Linked DNA regions of Arabidopsis thaliana. The protein of the gene in region 4 interacts with the protein of the main gene of each other region in a pairwise test. Each region holds a gene or a part of one and is shown on either strand. Other genes may lie near its edges. The genes, in order: AT2G28060, COR27, NAM and MYB49.

Region 1 (4,640 bases), on a different chromosome or scaffold from region 4:
GAATGATAATGTGAGGGATATATAAGTGGGAGGAGATATACACTGGTTTAGGGTTAAAGTTCATAAATGGGCTCGTGAGTGATGGCTGGAAACATAAGAGAGAAGAGTAAGTAGGAGAGGACAGAGGCAAAATGGCTGGAAAATGGTATTAATCAAAATACGATTTTATATGTGTGATAGAGATACAAAAAAGTGTTGATGGGGTCGGGAAGATCAGAAAGAGGTAGGAAAGTCCGTGAGTTTCAGAAATTACAATCAAAGATCAAACATTTGTCTTTGCATTTATGAATTATGACACACTCACACGCAATTTTCTATATTTTCAAACTATTGTTTCTCTTGTTTTAAAATGGTTTGGAGATTGGACATGGATTTTTAAATATATATATTATTATGTACACGGTTGCATGGGTTTTCGGGACTATTGGATTTTGCTTTCTTTTGGATAACAAAAACACGATAAATATTTCATTAAACCATACAAATCTTCGATTGATAAATACATATACGAAAACATACCTAAGGAAAAGGAATCCATTGTTGTAGGATTTAGGTACCATGCGGTTTTCCAAACCATAGAGTAATCTCATATGTATTGAAATTTAAAAAAAAAAAAATACAAAGAAGAACTAAAAAACAGAAAAAAAAAACTAAGAAAATAGGGAAATTAAGTTGGAGTCTCTTTAATTTGTTTTTTTTTTGTCATCTAGAGTTATTTTAATGTTACCATGATGAAATACTTGATAAAATACAACATTAAACCGAAAGAAAACGAGATTTTTTCGAAGTTTAAGCCCTAAGTAAAAAAGTCATAAATAATACTACAAAGCAAGAGGAAAAAAGCAATAGTAGTTGAAATCCCACCAAAACTATAAGTCGCATAGTTCTTGAAGATTATTTGAAAGAAAAGTATCGCGGATGCCCACCACCAACCAACGATACACAAGTCCTCCTATTGAGATGAACAACAACCTTCAGATTTCAGAATTTTTAAGCTTTATAACCTGATAACCACTGCCCAAACTTTCTTTCGTATGTGGTGATGTCATAAATCGACAAGAAACAATAAACATTAAGATTATGTGCCTTCATTGGATCATGGACTGAAAATTAAGCTCTTCGATCAACTAAAACAAATTTATCATCATTGTTTTCATACTCGCTGCTAAGTTTGCAGGGGAGTATTAGAGTCCACAACTAAAACAAGTCCAAACCCAATGTGAGGTCTACATAAGTAGAATTTTAACAAGTTAGAAGATTCATATAAACAATTATGTAATGAGAACTATGATTGTAACTTTGAGAGAACTCTCTTCCTTCATCTTATGAAATATCAAATCTAGAAACATTGGCTTTTGGTGACAAACCTTAAGCTCCTTTACATTTTTCTCTTCTTTACATTTCAATAAAGCTCACTAGAACTATTGCATTTCTATCTTTATATAATAAGCTCAATGAACATCAATCTATATTTGTCTTAAAAATGTCAAATAAATAGAAGTTTCATGAAAGGACCAGACCTCGATCAAGTCTGAGAAGCATAGACAAGGAGTGAAGATTTAGTCTCGATAACACCATTCTTAAGAGACGAAAAAAGGTAAAAGATCGAATCGCATAGAATCAAAGAAATCTTCACATATTCAGAGGAAAAACAGCATGTCTAGCGAACACTAGAGTCGAACAAAAGCAAACCACCAATCACACATCCTTATTTGTCAATTATTTATTTTGGAAACTAAAAAGAAAGTTAATGAGTAAAATAGTTTCCATAAGAAGAAAAAAAATGTTTTCTGAGGAAAGAAAATGTTTTCGAAGGACAGCAAAGTTTAAGCCAATAAGCAAAACAAAAGCTGATGCTTGTCGCGACTGTGTTCGTCAAGAATCTCCAGGACGAACCCAATCTTCTCTCTCGAAGCTGTCTAAAATTAATCAATCAATCATTGAGCTAATCATATTCTAGGTTAAGTAAAAACAGAGTAAACCCTCTCTTTTTTTCTCTTTCTCTGCCTTTCTCAATTTCGTTTCGTCTCCTTCGTTCTTCCAATTTCCGTCTGATTTTATACGAAATTTGCATTGATATCGAAGTAAAATCGAATACCCATGATTCAAAATTTCATTTTTTATGCGACTGATTCCTCAATTTTGATTTTCCGGTGATTTCTAGGGTTTTCTATTAGGTGGGTGTTATTTATCATTTGATGGGTCATTTACTGATGATTTTGCAGGTTTTTGTTTTAAGGATTTGTGTAGACTTTCATTGCTGCTACGTTTTTGAAAGGGTAATTTGAAGGGCTTAGCTTCCCAAAGGTGAGAATTTTAACTCCAGTTTGGCTTCTGATATTGTGTTCATTGTTATGTATTTTTAAGCTTAGTAGTTGTGTTTTAAAGTTGTTCCAGTTTGGTTGATAAGTGTGTATGTGTGTTCATCAGATTGGGTGAGTACAGTTCTTTCATTGATATCTCCAGTTGATTTGTGGGAATTTTGTTCTGTGTGTATAGGATTTAGACCTCAAATATTGGATTCTCTTTAAGCATTTAAGTGCCTGGTTTCTTCATCATCACTTGATAGGAGGACTTTACAAATTTTATTCTGAACATGGAATTTGGTTAGCCGAATAACTTCGTGGGGATTAGTTTCTCGTGCAAGGAAATTCTTCATGGTTCTGTCTTGGAAGTGTTTGGAATCTTGAAGCTTGATAGATTTTCGATGTAGGCATGATGCGGTTTTCTTATAGGTTTAAAGGGTCTTTAGCTGAGATATGGTTCCTATGGTGTGTAATAGGTTTAAAGGGTCTTTAGATGAGATAAAACTGTGCAAAGAGTTCATATAATAAATGGTTAAATCCTATATATTATCTGTTCAGTGTACATAGAGAAGAATTAGCTGTGGAATTTGGATGTACATGATAATAACAATGTAGTTTATGTCTTCCAACTTGTCTCTGTTGTGATAATGATCAATGTGTTTCTATTCTAACTCCTGTGGTCCATTGATTTTTGAATCCTTTGTCCACCTTAGTACTTTCTTCGAAGAAGGCATGGGAAAATATGATTCTCTGGTCCAACTTTCTTAAGACTGTCTGCATCTTTGGATCCTTAGATTTGTCTACGGGATTATGAATTATTTGACTTTTGATACCGATTAGACAAAAGTCTTACATTTCACACAAATAAGAGTTTGCATCATTGTAGAGAACAACATTGTTTTCATTTCTGCTTCAGTGTTTTTGAGTTGAAATGTAAACACCTCTTTCTCTTAGATTAGTTTGAATGGCACTTGAGCTGGTGTGACCTACATTCATTTTGATTGTTTACTTTGCATGCTATTGCGGTTTAGTTATGATTATATTTTGTTTCAGGCACTAGGTGGCAATCTTATCCAAGATGAACAGTCAAAATCCTGATGATCATGTAAGCCAGCTAAAACACCTTTTTGCCTTCAACCAACTAATCGAGTAATTTCCAGTCTCCCGCTCGATTTTTCAATCTTTTATCGTTTTCTTAAACATAGGAGGACACAACGGTTGTGGGATTTGAAGTACCTGTATCACCGGTTTCAAGTTACAACAATGTGTATTCCTCAACCGAAGATGAGACAAGAGATCCTCCAGCAGTACCGCCACACCTTCAACACTCTCTATTAGGCAATCAGGGTAGCATGGAACTGGCTTATGCGCCACAGAATGTTGTCCTGAACCACCTCTATATCGAGAACCGAGACGCCCCAAGATCTGTTGTAGCACTCGGTTTCTCGCATCGGTTCAGGACTAAGTTTGTCACTGTGGTGATATACAAGCCTGTCCAAAGAAGAGGGAGCGCCAATGTTTGAATAATGATACCTCTTTTTAAGTAGTGTTGGGAATTTGCTTCTTTATGGATTGAATTTGGTATACAAAACCATCTGGTCCGTACTGAATTTTATTCTTCTCTTACAGATTCGATTTAGACGGTTTCTAGGTACATTCGATTGAAATCATCTTCTTGTTCGGAGTTTATATAAAATCTCCATGCATTTTTATTTTTTAGGCCCAAAAAAGCTGATAGACGTGGGCATTGTTTGTTTGTAATAACTCCCTTAGATTGGGTTTAGTTAAACGAGCCCAAATATCGCTAATGAAGTTCTTTACTTGCTCATATGTAGTGTTACCATAAATTATTTAAATCTTTCGTAGCTCCAAAAAGGAAAAAAAAAAAAAAAAATCTTAATCAAAACTTTCTATGTCCGAGATAAGTTACCAAACTAATGCTCTAAAACTGGATTGGATCGTCGGATCAATGCATTAGTCTAAAACTGGATTGGATCGTCGGATCATTGCATTAGTTCGGTTTGAATGTAGATCACTTATACTCTCGTTGTTTTTAATTAAGTGTAGTTTTAAGGTTTTTTATTTTTTTTTAATATAAGTGTTGTTTTCACTTTTCTATGCAAACATTAAATGTATTTAATAATTTTTAATTAATTATATTTTTTTACTGGTTGGATTAGTTGTAATTAATGATGTTTTTATAGGAAAAAGATAAATTAAATAAAATTTGTATGTTTTCTTAATTTGTGTGCAAAAACTTTAAACTACAAATATTCAGTAACAGAGGGAGTATATAAAAACAAAGTTGGTTTGTGCATGGGAGCTTATTTGCAC
Region 2 (4,689 bases), 4.8 Mb from region 4:
TGGCTTTTCTCTAAATATAGGCCGATGCTCAGCTCAACATGCAGAGCTATGGGGAGTGTATTACGGATTGTATTTCGCATGGGAGAAGAAGGTGCCTCGAGTGGAGTTGGAGGTGGATTCAGAGGCGATAGTGGGTTTCCTCAAAACAGGGATTAGTGACTCTCATCCGCTGTCATTCCTGGTGCGGTTGTGCCACAACTTTCTACAGAAAGACTGGTTGGTCCGAATTGTTTACGTGTATAGAGAAGCTAATTGTCTTGCGGACGGATTAGCAAACTATACAATTTTGTTATCTTTAGGCTTTCATTCTTTTGATTTTGTTCCCGATGCGATGTCATCTTTGTTGAAGGAGGATACTCTTGGGTCTACTCAACTAAGGCGAGTTCGTTTGTAACTTTTCTTTAGTTTCTTAATAAATCACGGGAGGCAATTGTCTCCCGGTCACTTACCAAAAAAAGACTGGACATAATTTTATAAAAAAAATATCGAACAAAAAATTAATAATAAATATATACAATTTTTAAAATATTATAAAATAAAAATTTATTTAAGAAGAGTTAAGATAAAGATACGCATTCTTAAAATACTTAATTGTAATTTGTACACAACCATCTATAACGAAGAGTTGTGATAGGAAAATTAGAGCAAAAGTAAAACTTAAGGAGAAAAACAAAACCTTAACTGAAAATGTATAGATAAAAATTTATAAAAAAGAAATACAATTTTCTAAAATTTAAATTATTTCATATAATTAAAAGTCTTAAATAAATATTTTGCAAAGAGTTACAACAATCAATAAGCACTACGATAGAAGACATATTTACAATTTATTAATTTGTATATTCACATAATTACTCACCCTTCTCTTACAAGGTAGAGTAAATTATTTTTATTCAAACTCATCATTGGTGTAACCTTTCTTGAAAAGATGTATATCTATCTTAAACTAAAATTGAAGGAGTTTTCCTGTTTCTTAAGATTACTGAGTATTTAAGTATTTTTTATTATTTGGATAAGTTAAAATGGTTAAATGGGTAATTTATAATTCATAGAATCTTACATGGTAGAGTATATTGATCCAAACTGATCATTTGTATAACCTTTCTTGAAAATCATAGATCTATCTTAAAACTAAACTGTAAGCTTTTTTTTTACTTTTCAATTCCCTAAGATTATGTCTCCACTTTAATATTTTACCATTTCTCTTAAACAGAAAAATTGAATATACCTATTTATAAGTATTCAAAATTTATTTTTAGGTAGAATTTAGCGCAAAAGTTTATTAAACTTTACGTTTACAATCTCATTATTTAATATTCACGTGAATGAATATTTTGACATGGTAAATATAATATAACACTATAAATAATATATTTACATATGATGAAAAGAAGAATAATTTGATAAATTAGAAATTCACATAATACATGAAATAATCACATATTAATTCCACCCTAACTAGCTAAATGATAAAAATAAAATCATATAAATCAGTTCATAAAACAAAAAATGTCTCGGGAAAAAAAAAACACTCTTCCAAAAGAGACATGTAATAGTCAATTTATTTCTATTTTCATAATCATCGTTAATCCTCATTGCATGTGGTACAATTATTCTAATAAGAAAAGTGAATCGTCCCAATAAATAATCCTAAAATGCCGTCTTAAAAAAGGCAATCTATAAAATTATTTATAAATATCTAAGAATGAGTTGTCTACTTTCCATTGATTAAAAAGAGAAAATATCATAAACAAAAAAAAAAAGTCAGAGAAGTTAAACCAAAAGCAACAAAAAAGAAAAAAAGAAAGAATAATCAAGAGAGAGGAGAAGAGGACGGTGGAAGATATTTTGCAGTTGAAGAAAATATCTTTGATATTTTTTGTGTTTGAAATATCTAAAACCAAAAAGTTTCATCTCTTCATTCCGCCAAATTGACTGGTGATGACGTGGCAACTTTACCCACGTGTAAAAGCGTCTACAACTGTATCGTTTCTTTTGATATTTTGTTTCTCTCTTTCTCTCTGATATTTTTCATTTTCTTCTTCTTCTCTCTCTCTCTCCACAAAGATAAGCCAACAATGGTTGGTGATTACAGAGGACGCTTTAGTAGCCGTCGTTTCTCCGATGACTCTGACGATTCTTCCGACGATGCTTCTTCCGTGGAGGGAGAGACCACTTCTTCCATGGTATTTATACATATTCCATGTTTTCTTTCTTTTTCATTGATATTTTTGCATGTCTGTTTTTCCTCGCCGGAATCGGAATCTCCGTCGTGTTCGCTGCTCAGATCTGAATTTTTACGGCGATTTAACGTTTTTGATGGAATTAGTGCGTTTATTGTTGATTATTGTGAAGTAAACGAAAGAGTTTATTTACACTAATGAACATAAATTGTTCGATATTTGTCTTGTTGATGAATTTGGTTGCTTCTTTGCGATTGAAGAGATAATTAGATGTTTATAGATTTGATATCTACATAAGGATTCTGAGCTGTGTAATGACAACTTTGTAACAAAATCATTTTTGTGAACTTTGGTGTAGTACTCTGCGGGGAAAGAGTATATGGAAACAGAATGGACTAATGAGAAGCATAGTTTATATCTTAAATCTATGGAAGCTTCATTCGTAGATCAGTTATATAACTCGCTCGGAGCTCTCGGGAAGAACGAGAATGTATCCGAATCAACGAGGTTCGGTAGCGGTAGAAAACCGTCTCAAGAACAGGTATGACACTTTTTTTTTAATAGATGATGATGATGTTATAGTGTTAAGAAGATTTTGGGATCATTGAAATGTATGTTTATGGTATCAGTTCAAGGTTCTTCATGATGGTTTCTGGCAGAAGATTAATGTGAAACAACCTGAACATCGGATTAACGGAAGGCACGGTGGTAATTCTCATGAGTTTCTTAGGAGTCCATGGATTAAGCATTATAAACCTTTAGTAAAGACACAAATCCCGGTAACGGATGAGCCCGAAAATCAAGTTGTTAGCAGCTCTAATGGGAAGAAGGGAATATGCAGCTCTGGCTCAGCCTCTAGTCTCAAGCAGCTAAGCTCTCATTCGCGTGACCACGACCAAATCAGCGTTGGAGAAGGTATTAGTTTATCAAAAATGTGTTTCTTTCCTCTGTTTAGATATGTTGTTTCTATTCTAAATTTGTCTTGTGATGTTTTAAAGCAGAGGTATCGGATCAGAACTTTGTTAACGAAGGAATAAAAGGCGAAAACGGAAGCTCGAAGAAGATGAAGACGGTGATGATGAGTGAATCGTCGAGTACCGATCAGGTAACTTCTTCCTCCACTATTAGTTTGATCATATTAGTGAATGTGGTGAGTTATTGATCCAAAATGTTTCCTTGGCATAGGTTGTTCCACTCAATAAACTCTTGCAACATGACGTAAATTTGAAGTCTGTTTCTTGAGAGGTCAGATGGTGAAGCTTTATATGAGGAGAGAATTTTGTAATGTATATATATTTGCATAACTTATAAGTCAAATTTACTATCCTTAGTTACAAGTTTCTTCATCATATATCCCTAACTATAAATATATTTATATGCTCATGTGAGTGGATTCATTTGTACTGTAAAACCCTTAGAAAGACGTCAAATTAGTATTTGATGGTTTAGTGTTGTCTTGTTACCACTATAGTATAAAATTTCAAGTTCCTTAATTTTCTTTTATGTTGCCCATACAATAAAAATGGTGGTCGAATAAAGGTAAAAGATAATAAAAAATAATTGAGCCGGTTATTATACAAACGGTGTTGTTTGGATAAAGCTAATTGGCTAAGGGTTGTGTATGTGTTGGAATCAAACCTTGATTAATTTCGAAGAAGAATCTAGGAATGAGAAAAGAAAGTGAAGAGGATCAAAAAAAAAAAAAAAAAAAAAAAGAGAAGAAGAGAAGAAGAAGGTGTCTCAGAAGAGTCGATCGCGAGAGTGAGGGAGAAGAGTGCTTTGGGCCATTAAGTTGAATCAGCCCACTATGTTAGTGGGTTGACTTTGATGATAAAGTTATATTTTTTTCTTATTATTATACAAAGTTGGGTTTGTTATATTTAACACCAAAAATAGAAAACATTTTTTAACCATATCGGAAAAATAAAATATATAGGTTGTTTATATATTCAAATTTTTATTTTAATATAGTAAACTATTAAAGTAATTTTACCAAAAAAGTTAATATATTCAAAACATAAGTAAAAATTTGGTTTCGAATGTATAAAATTGAAATTTGATTTTTTAAAATATATAGATTATTATTTAGAATCTAAGTATCAGAAAAAGAAAATTTATTTATTTTTCACACCTCCTATTTATCGGACATTAACTAGTCAATTTAATAATCGTTCATAGATTTTGTGTTACGACATATTTAAAAGATTTATGAAAACAATTTTAAGTTCTGAACATTGCAAGGCTAAATTAAGTATGGACTCAATGTTTCAAATTGTTATTCATCAGATTTAAAGAATGAGTAAATTTTGAATACAAATATGACTCTTTTATTAATGTATCATCATGTTTTTTTTTTTTTTTGAGTATAACATGTAAAGTAAGCTAAAAGTTTAAAAAATAAATTAAAAAGAAAAAAACAAATATTTTTAAAATATATTAAAGCTCTATTTTGGTGTCGGAGGAGTTGCACCAGCAATTCTTGAACATTGTTCCTTTAGCATTGGAG
Region 3 (4,359 bases), on a different chromosome or scaffold from region 4:
GCTGGCAAGCTGACGGTGGACAATATTTGCTGATCGTTCTAGTTTTCGATAGAAAACTCGTATTTATCGTTTGCATAAATATCTACTTTATTTGCACTAAGTCAAAGTTTAGTTTTTTTTACTTTTTAGTGACGAAAAAAAGTTCATAAGATCCGTTCATTGCCACCCTCAAATAATCCTTTCATTATCTCTTTATCTATTTGTATAGAAAATTAGTTTGTGAGAAAAACGCATCAGGTCTGATATATATATATAAACCAACGATTAAAGGTTTAAGAAATAATAAAAATTAGAGTGTGAAAATAATAAAATTTCGCATTACTCAAACAGTTGGTAATTCTTGCTTATATTGTTATGTAACTCATAACCAAAAATAGATATATTAAATAATATATTGTTATATATTAATTATCAAGATAATTAATTAATTTTTTGTTAATTGATGAATTTCTTTATAAAATTCCAATGGTCACAAAATACAAAGGGAATACAAAAGCGTGATATGACATTTGAAACGTAAAAAAGCTTTTTTGAATTTTCACTTTGTTGCCTTGTGTGGCACTTAAGCGGGTCCCATTTTACAGCTTGCCACGTGTCGACGTAATGTACTCAGAATAACACGGTACTATTGGAAGCATGCACCTTCAGTTATTTGTCCACACATGATAATCAAAAAAAAAAAGTGATACGTAGAAGTTTTTGCATTGGTAAAAAATATTTTAATTTATATTCTGTTTTCATTAAATTTTAAATTATTCTATTTTAAAGTATTTGTTTAACCGTTAAAAGGTAAAACTATATAGTATACCACTTAAGTTTAGGGATGATGAAAAAAACTACCACGTAAAACAATAATAAATCGGTTGGTTGAAACCTTGCAAGTTCCATGTAAATTTATTAAAGTATATATTATTTTAAAAATATTTTATAGATAAAAAAACTAAATTAATAGTGCCGTGCACTTTTCTTATATGATTTTTGTTATTATAATTTTTTTTAATTTTTTTATTATAACTTACTATAGAGACAAAAATATATATATGCTTATTGGATGAAAACAATCGCTATCGTTGTTAATGGTCGCTCGTGTCAAGCCACACTTTGAGCCTATATGAACACAGACGATAATGCATGGTTAAAGAGGTTAAGAAAGTCATTATCGACTCCGAAATCACTATTTTACCCTCCTTTGCCTTGGTTAGTATCGTAATTTAAAAAGATTCGACATGATTAGTCAGACTTTGTATATGTGTCGAATTGTCGCCACTCTTTATCTCCTTTTAGTACAAACCAAACCACACTAAACTCGGCTGAATTATGGGAGATTATGTATTATTATTGATTGCCAACAAATTCTAATATTCCGGGTCTAAAATAATAAAATATTATTTTTTGGGGTACAATTGTTAATTACAAACACTAATCTGAGATTAACAGTATTTTGTAGGTCAAACAAACTTTACAAAAAACAAATGGTTTTATCATCTTATGAATTGAAATCTACAGAAGATGAAAGATAAACTACGATTTAATTCTAGCTAAGTACATATAGATCAAATTAATTAGTGAAAAGGATCAACAAAGCAAATTAAATGTACTCTCTCATGATTCACGAAGATAAGATAGCATCATCTATTTTAATTTGAAATCAATGATAGAAATCTCTTTACCTACACCTTCCTACACATATGGGTCAAAACGTTTTTTTTTTGGTATGACATTTTATTCCTTTTTCCTGTTGCTAATCTACATATATAACTACATAGCGTACAGCTATACATATTAAATATATTAGATCTCTACAATAGGTTAAACTGTAACACAAACTATTGATTTAGATAGCTACGGTAATTAATACGTTTTGATCGTCCATATTCCACAAATATAAATAGAAATACCATTTGATGTGTAACAAAAAAATCTCATAGACATTTATGGTTTTAATACAAAAAAAATTCTCAAAAATTGTAAATAAATACGAGTGGATACGATGGTCTACGTACAAAAGATTCCAGAGGATAAAAGCCATTTTGATTTGTCGTTTTAATGCCTTCCATTTTTAAAAAGAAAGATTACTAACGCCGACTCTCTAAAACTCTCTCAAACCATAAAAAATATTCTCCGATCATCATTTTAATGGAGAGTACAGATTCTTCCGGTGGTCCTCCGCCGCCGCAACCAAACCTCCCTCCAGGATTCCGGTTTCATCCAACAGACGAAGAACTTGTAATTCATTACCTCAAACGCAAAGCAGATTCTGTTCCTTTACCAGTCGCGATCATCGCCGACGTTGATCTTTACAAATTTGATCCATGGGAACTTCCCGGTAAGTTGAAACAAGACCAAGATCATAATCCGATCAGATCTGTTTCATTTTTTTTTTTACTGATTTTTGTTTTTTTTTGTGTTCTTGATTGTGACAGCGAAAGCTTCGTTTGGAGAACAAGAATGGTATTTTTTCAGTCCAAGAGATCGGAAATATCCCAACGGAGCTAGACCTAACCGAGCTGCGACTTCCGGTTATTGGAAAGCGACTGGTACAGATAAACCGGTGATTTCAACCGGCGGTGGTGGTAGTAAAAAAGTGGGAGTTAAAAAGGCTCTAGTGTTTTACAGTGGTAAACCACCAAAAGGAGTTAAATCAGATTGGATTATGCATGAATATCGGTTAACTGATAATAAACCTACTCATATTTGTGACTTCGGCAACAAGAAAAACTCTCTCAGGGTATATTATTATAATATTCTTAAAATCTTGATTTTAAAAGAAAAGTTTTGATTGGCTAATTTTTGATTCTTTTTATTACTATGTAGCTTGATGATTGGGTGTTGTGTCGTATCTACAAGAAAAACAATAGTACAGCATCTAGACATCATCATCATCTTCATCATATTCATCTAGATAATGATCATCATCGTCATGATATGATGATTGATGATGATCGATTCCGTCATGTTCCTCCTGGTCTTCACTTCCCGGCGATTTTTTCTGACAATAATGATCCGACGGCTATATATGATGGTGGCGGCGGCGGATACGGAGGTGGAAGTTACTCGATGAATCATTGTTTCGCATCTGGATCAAAGCAGGAGCAGTTGTTTCCACCGGTGATGATGATGACTAGTCTAAATCAAGATTCCGGTATTGGATCGTCGTCGTCACCTAGCAAGAGATTTAACGGCGGCGGCGTTGGAGATTGTTCGACTTCTATGGCGGCGACGCCGTTAATGCAGAACCAAGGTGGGATTTACCAATTGCCTGGTTTGAATTGGTATTCTTGAAAACAATTTACGATGAAGAATTTTTAAAATTTGTGTATATATATACGGTTTGAGTGATTAGGGGGCATTGGGGGATTTATTTACGGTTGATTATTATTGTAGTGTTATAGAACTAAGGAGATTAAATTAAATAGATTGGAGGAGAGGTATAAGGTAACATATAGAAATTATACAACAATAGTTTAAATATTCTTTTCTTTTCTTTTTCATGTTATTATTTTTACTAATGTATAGGTGATGATTATACTTAGATGTTTGTAGCTTGTATAAATTAATGCATGCATATATATAAAAATATATTAACAGTTATAGAAACTAGATTACCCTTGTGCTTTTCTTCAGCTATTTATTTTCAGTACTATCAGCTTCAACATTCGCATGTTTTGCTGCAAATTTTATTTTTTAAAAACATGATTTTAAAGTGACATCAGAAATACTATTTGGTAGAAGACCCTAACTTATAAGAAACAGACGATAATGAAACTATCTGGCGGAGCTTTTATTTGACTTTGTCGAAAACATGTTCGGAACCAAATCTTGGCAATCAAAATAAGTGGAGATAAAAGATACGACAAAGGGCCTTCAAATCTGGTTTGAATCAATAGTTTTAAACTGAAAAGTTTTAATCTTTTTGTTAGATCAAACAAATGTTGCACTTGTTGTAAAAACAATGTTCAAAAAATAAATATGATGTTCATAATTAAATTCGAATCGAATACATGTAATGGACATCTTTAATCATTTTTTTTTTCTTTTCTTTTCATAATGATAAATACAAATTTGATGCTGAGTAGAATAATAAAAAACACAATATTACGTTTATATTAAACAAAAAAAGGCATACATATCCATCTCTTTATATTATATTTATACCATCCTTAACCAAATTTGATTTCCAAGAAAAGAGAAGCTATTCCCATGGCAAGTAATGAAGTTCAAGCTAATCAACTCGAAAGGCAGAATGCTACTGTCAGCGATGTGTTAGCCGATCCTCTATGCACATGTTGGTGAGTTCATAACACAATTTAATTACTAGTTTCCAAAATTTAGTGTCTCTCTAATATATATGTTCTTCTT
Region 4 (4,016 bases):
CATGCATCACAAAATTTACCTTCATGAATCAATTCCCTGTGAGACAATGATATGATTTAAAGTTTACATGTAAAATATTCTATACCGTGGAAAAACACTCATTTCATTGTTATATAACGAAAAATATGAATTATATGGACGCAAAATAACTATTTACTAGATATATCGATGTTATAGAAATAATATTATATTAAAAAAAACGATATATACGGTTTAGTGTTAGTGTAAGTTTATATTTTTGGCACTTGTTGAAAACGTTATGATAACTTGTTTATTATCAACCTAACATGTTTTATACGGCTATACCGCATAAAGTGTAGAATTAATTTTACCTCTTTATATGACACAATAATATTTAACATGTAACAAGAGCAAGGGGTTACTTGTCAAATACGCCTATGCACTAAACAATGATAAATTGGTCATTCTCCTAATTTAAAAAGTCACTTTATCATTCTTCTCTAATACCAAACCTTTCTATATAATCACTCTTAAACCGGCCGATAACTTGTTTTCCAAATAATCTAAAACTTATACTAACCAAATTTAACTAAAATAGTAATAATTTCTTACAAATATCAAATCAAAAAATTTCAAATCCCTGACTTGTCAAATCAACCATGTTTCGGACTGAGACCAAAGTCTCTGCAATTCAATGACACATGTATATTATATAGTATTGTTTCATTAATCACACATGTATTTTGACCGTTAACATGCCTTGTTCTTTACGTATGTTGCACTGCAACAACGCTTTGTCGTTAATTTACCTAACTTAGTAAAAACAAAATACATGTCTTAGATTATCAGTTATTCAAACTTGTCGTTATGTAATTGTTATTGAAGTAAACAGAAACTCTGGTGCGATGCAGGACGTTACTCAAACTGAGTCACTTCGATCGGATGTCTTAATTCAAGCAGGACAATCTAGCTTTGCTACTGAAATTTGATGACACGATGATATATATCTATTTCCAACCGATGAAGCACACTGGAGATCCGTTTGGATTTTTATTGTTTTTACTTTTTTACACTATCGTAATCATTCTTTACATATTTCCTTTTTATTTTCTCCTTAGAAGAGAAATTATTTGTATACAAAACTTAGAAGGCTAAATAAGCATATTTATTCAGTATAATCACTGTAACCACACCTTATTCAATAAAATTCTTATTTTGAATCTGTCTATTTATGTATATGATATTGCTATAGTGATGACAGATGAGTAAACATTAAACATACACGCAACATAGCTATCTTGAAAACTGTTTGATGATTTGAGACAAAGAGACCAAAACAAATGGAACCTTCTTCACATATCTATCACACGTCCTCATACACCACCCATATTCTGCCATGTGTTCTCACTCCATCAATATTAATTATTTTTAGGGTTAATAGAGATGGTTTAGTCTCATGCTTTTTGTTTATTACTTTTTTTCTTTGGTCAGAGCTTTTTGTTTGTTAGTAAGGACTTTAAAGATAGAGAGTAAAAATTACTCTTTTGTTTTGTCAACATAATAAGCAGTTTTTTTCTACTTCATTTTGTCTCCGTATTTCATCAAGAAAAGACACGTATTTAGATAGATGATGGAAGGGCGGTACCAAATCTCCTTGACTTGACTTTGCATGTACCATATATATATTTGTATATACATAAATCATAATTCATGAAGAAACCAAATTTTCTCTGTAATCAAGTTCTCAAAGCTTATTAGCTTCTCTCTCTAGTTCTCTCACATATAACATTTGAAAAAGATGGGAAAATCTTCAAGCTCGGAGGAAAGTGAAGTGAAGAAAGGGCCATGGACTCCGGAGGAAGACGAGAAGCTCGTAGGCTATATTCAAACGCACGGTCCCGGCAAATGGCGTACCCTTCCCAAGAACGCCGGTAAATTCCTACCCTAACGCATGTATATATACAAATAGCTAAATCCTATCAGCTACAATATGTTTTCCTGCGTTTTGTTTTACGTTTATGTTTAAAATTTACTAATAATGATTATCATGCTAGATCATGTCAACGTTAGAATTAAAATTAAAACAATCATGGTTCTTATTCGTTTTTCTTGGTGTGAATCTTAAAAGGGTTAAAAAGATGCGGGAAGAGTTGTAGATTGCGATGGACGAATTATCTAAGACCCGATATCAAGAGAGGAGAGTTCTCTCTTCAAGAGGAAGAAACCATCATTCAACTTCATCGTCTTCTTGGAAACAAGTTAGTCTATCTGCAATTTTTCATTTCTTCATTTAGTGTATAATTGTTTACATGTATGATTAAATTAAGTAAAAAATGACCTAGTTTTCCACTACTACACCTACTTCATTGGACTTCCATGTCTTTACATTTTTGTTATAATATTACTTGCATATTTTATTTTATTCAACTAAAAGACAAGAACATAGTTAAGCACTATACCAAGGTCAAATGTCTAAAGCTAAGCATGCAATCTTCAACTCGCTGCAGCTAATATCTTAACAAGTTAAAACTTATACTTCTCTTTTTGATTTTAACTTAAAATCTATAACACGATATTTTTTCTTCTATAGATGGTCCGCAATTGCTATTCACTTACCAGGAAGAACAGATAATGAAATCAAAAACTATTGGAACACACATATTAAAAAGAAACTCTTACGAATGGGGATTGATCCGGTGACTCATTGTCCCCGCATTAATCTTCTCCAGCTCTCTTCGTTTCTTACCTCATCATTGTTTAAATCTATGTCACAACCGATGAATACTCCATTTGATCTCACTACTTCAAATATTAATCCTGATATCTTGAATCATCTCACTGCCTCTCTCAACAACGTTCAGACCGAATCATACCAACCAAACCAACAGCTTCAAAACGACCTAAACACTGACCAAACCACTTTCACCGGTTTGCTCAACTCAACACCACCCGTTCAATGGCAAAACAATGGAGAATACTTGGGAGATTATCACAGTTATACCGGTACAGGTGATCCATCTAATAACAAAGTCCCTCAAGCCGGAAACTACTCATCAGCCGCATTTGTATCCGACCACATTAATGATGGTGAGAATTTTAAGGCCGGATGGAATTTCAGTTCATCAATGCTAGCGGGAACTTCATCGAGCAGCTCGACACCGTTGAATTCGTCTTCGACTTTTTATGTCAATGGTGGAAGCGAAGATGATAGAGAGAGTTTTGGTAGCGACATGTTGATGTTTCATCATCATCATGATCATAATAATAATGCTTTGAATCTATCATAATGTCTTATTTATTTTGCTTCTTGATCTTATTTGTTTTATTTTTACTTTTTTTTAATGGGGGTTTGTAATTGTGTTACATACTTTGTAATATAAGAGCTTAGTCTATTATTATGTTGACTCTTTTTTTTTTTTTTGTTCTACTTTTTTTGATCCGAAAAGGTTTCTATTTGTTTACACTTAAAAAAGTTATAAAACCTAAGAGGATAACAGCTAGTGTACCTTTATCTTGACTTTGTTCTTCTACTAATTGTTTTTTCTGCTTCGAAGAACTTTACATTAGTCGACTCTCAAAAGGTCATAAGATGGTTGATAAGTGTGTTACGTACATACTTAGTATTTTAAGAGTTAAGTGTATTCTTAATCTTGGATTTCTTGTGCATTTTCTTCCACTAATTGTTCTTATTTTCCAATTCGAAGAACTTTCCATTCGTTATACCTAAAAGGTCTTCAACTTGTACGAAAATTTTCTGGTGTTATAGTTTTATTATTCTATTTGCACCATCTTGATTTTGATGATTAAGAACACATTTGGTGGAGCAGGAGACAATAGTGATTATATTTAATTGGTCATAGACTCATAAAGGGGAGTTTTCAATTTCATAATACAAGAAAAAAGAAATAATCGACTTGTTTTCCCTTATGATTGGTTTGAAATCAGCACAAATAAATAGTAATACACCTAAAAGGAAGATTTAAATAGTTATCCACTATGAGAAAATGTGTATGAAAGATTAAAATAGAAAATATATAGTCAACGTTGTTCGAAAC

Evidence for each region.
Region 1: the proteins of MYB49 (region 4) and AT2G28060 interact in a two-hybrid assay, tested with the Arabidopsis thaliana proteins (one large-scale study listed by BioGRID).
Region 2: the proteins of MYB49 (region 4) and COR27 interact in a two-hybrid assay, tested with the Arabidopsis thaliana proteins (one large-scale study listed by BioGRID).
Region 3: the proteins of MYB49 (region 4) and NAM interact in a two-hybrid assay, tested with the Arabidopsis thaliana proteins (one large-scale study listed by BioGRID).

The regions. Positions count from the first base shown.
Region 1 is NC_003071.7:11,949,363-11,954,002, reverse strand, and holds AT2G28060 (5'-AMP-activated protein kinase beta-2 subunit protein), read left to right. Parts: upstream 1-1,749; 5' UTR 1,750-1,960; exon of another isoform or gene 1,961-2,225; 5' UTR 2,226-2,307; intron 2,308-3,359; 5' UTR 3,360-3,384; coding exon 3,385-3,411; intron 3,412-3,511; coding exon 3,512-3,829; 3' UTR 3,830-4,132; downstream 4,133-4,640. UniProt on the Arabidopsis thaliana protein: Regulatory subunit of the probable trimeric SNF1-related protein kinase (SnRK) complex, which may play a role in a signal transduction cascade regulating gene expression and carbohydrate metabolism in higher plants.
Region 2 is NC_003076.8:17,197,102-17,201,790, reverse strand, and holds COR27 (cold regulated protein 27), read left to right. Parts: upstream 1-1,997; 5' UTR 1,998-2,078; coding exon 2,079-2,186; intron 2,187-2,541; coding exon 2,542-2,724; intron 2,725-2,812; coding exon 2,813-3,098; intron 3,099-3,181; coding exon 3,182-3,288; intron 3,289-3,368; coding exon 3,369-3,425; 3' UTR 3,426-3,626; exon of another isoform or gene 3,627-3,872; intron 3,873-4,119; 3' UTR 4,120-4,150; downstream 4,151-4,689. Other genes in the region: AT5G42905 (Polynucleotidyl transferase, ribonuclease H-like superfamily protein), read left to right, coding at 1-216, 350-377; AT5G42895 (ECA1 gametogenesis related family protein), read right to left, coding at 4,628-4,689. UniProt on the Arabidopsis thaliana protein: Together with COR28, involved in central circadian clock regulation and in flowering promotion, by binding to the chromatin of clock-associated evening genes TOC1, PRR5, ELF4 and cold-responsive genes in order to repress their transcription.
Region 3 is NC_003070.9:19,688,208-19,692,566, reverse strand, and holds NAM (NAC (No Apical Meristem) domain transcriptional regulator superfamily protein), read left to right. Parts: upstream 1-1,977; 5' UTR 1,978-2,136; coding exon 2,137-2,326; intron 2,327-2,423; coding exon 2,424-2,728; intron 2,729-2,814; coding exon 2,815-3,282; 3' UTR 3,283-3,859; downstream 3,860-4,359. UniProt on the Arabidopsis thaliana protein: May encode a transcription factor involved in the elaboration of shoot apical meristems (SAM).
Region 4 is NC_003076.8:22,015,589-22,019,604, reverse strand, and holds MYB49 (myb domain protein 49), read left to right. Parts: upstream 1-1,543; 5' UTR 1,544-1,759; coding exon 1,760-1,892; intron 1,893-2,089; coding exon 2,090-2,219; intron 2,220-2,551; coding exon 2,552-3,248; 3' UTR 3,249-3,462; downstream 3,463-4,016.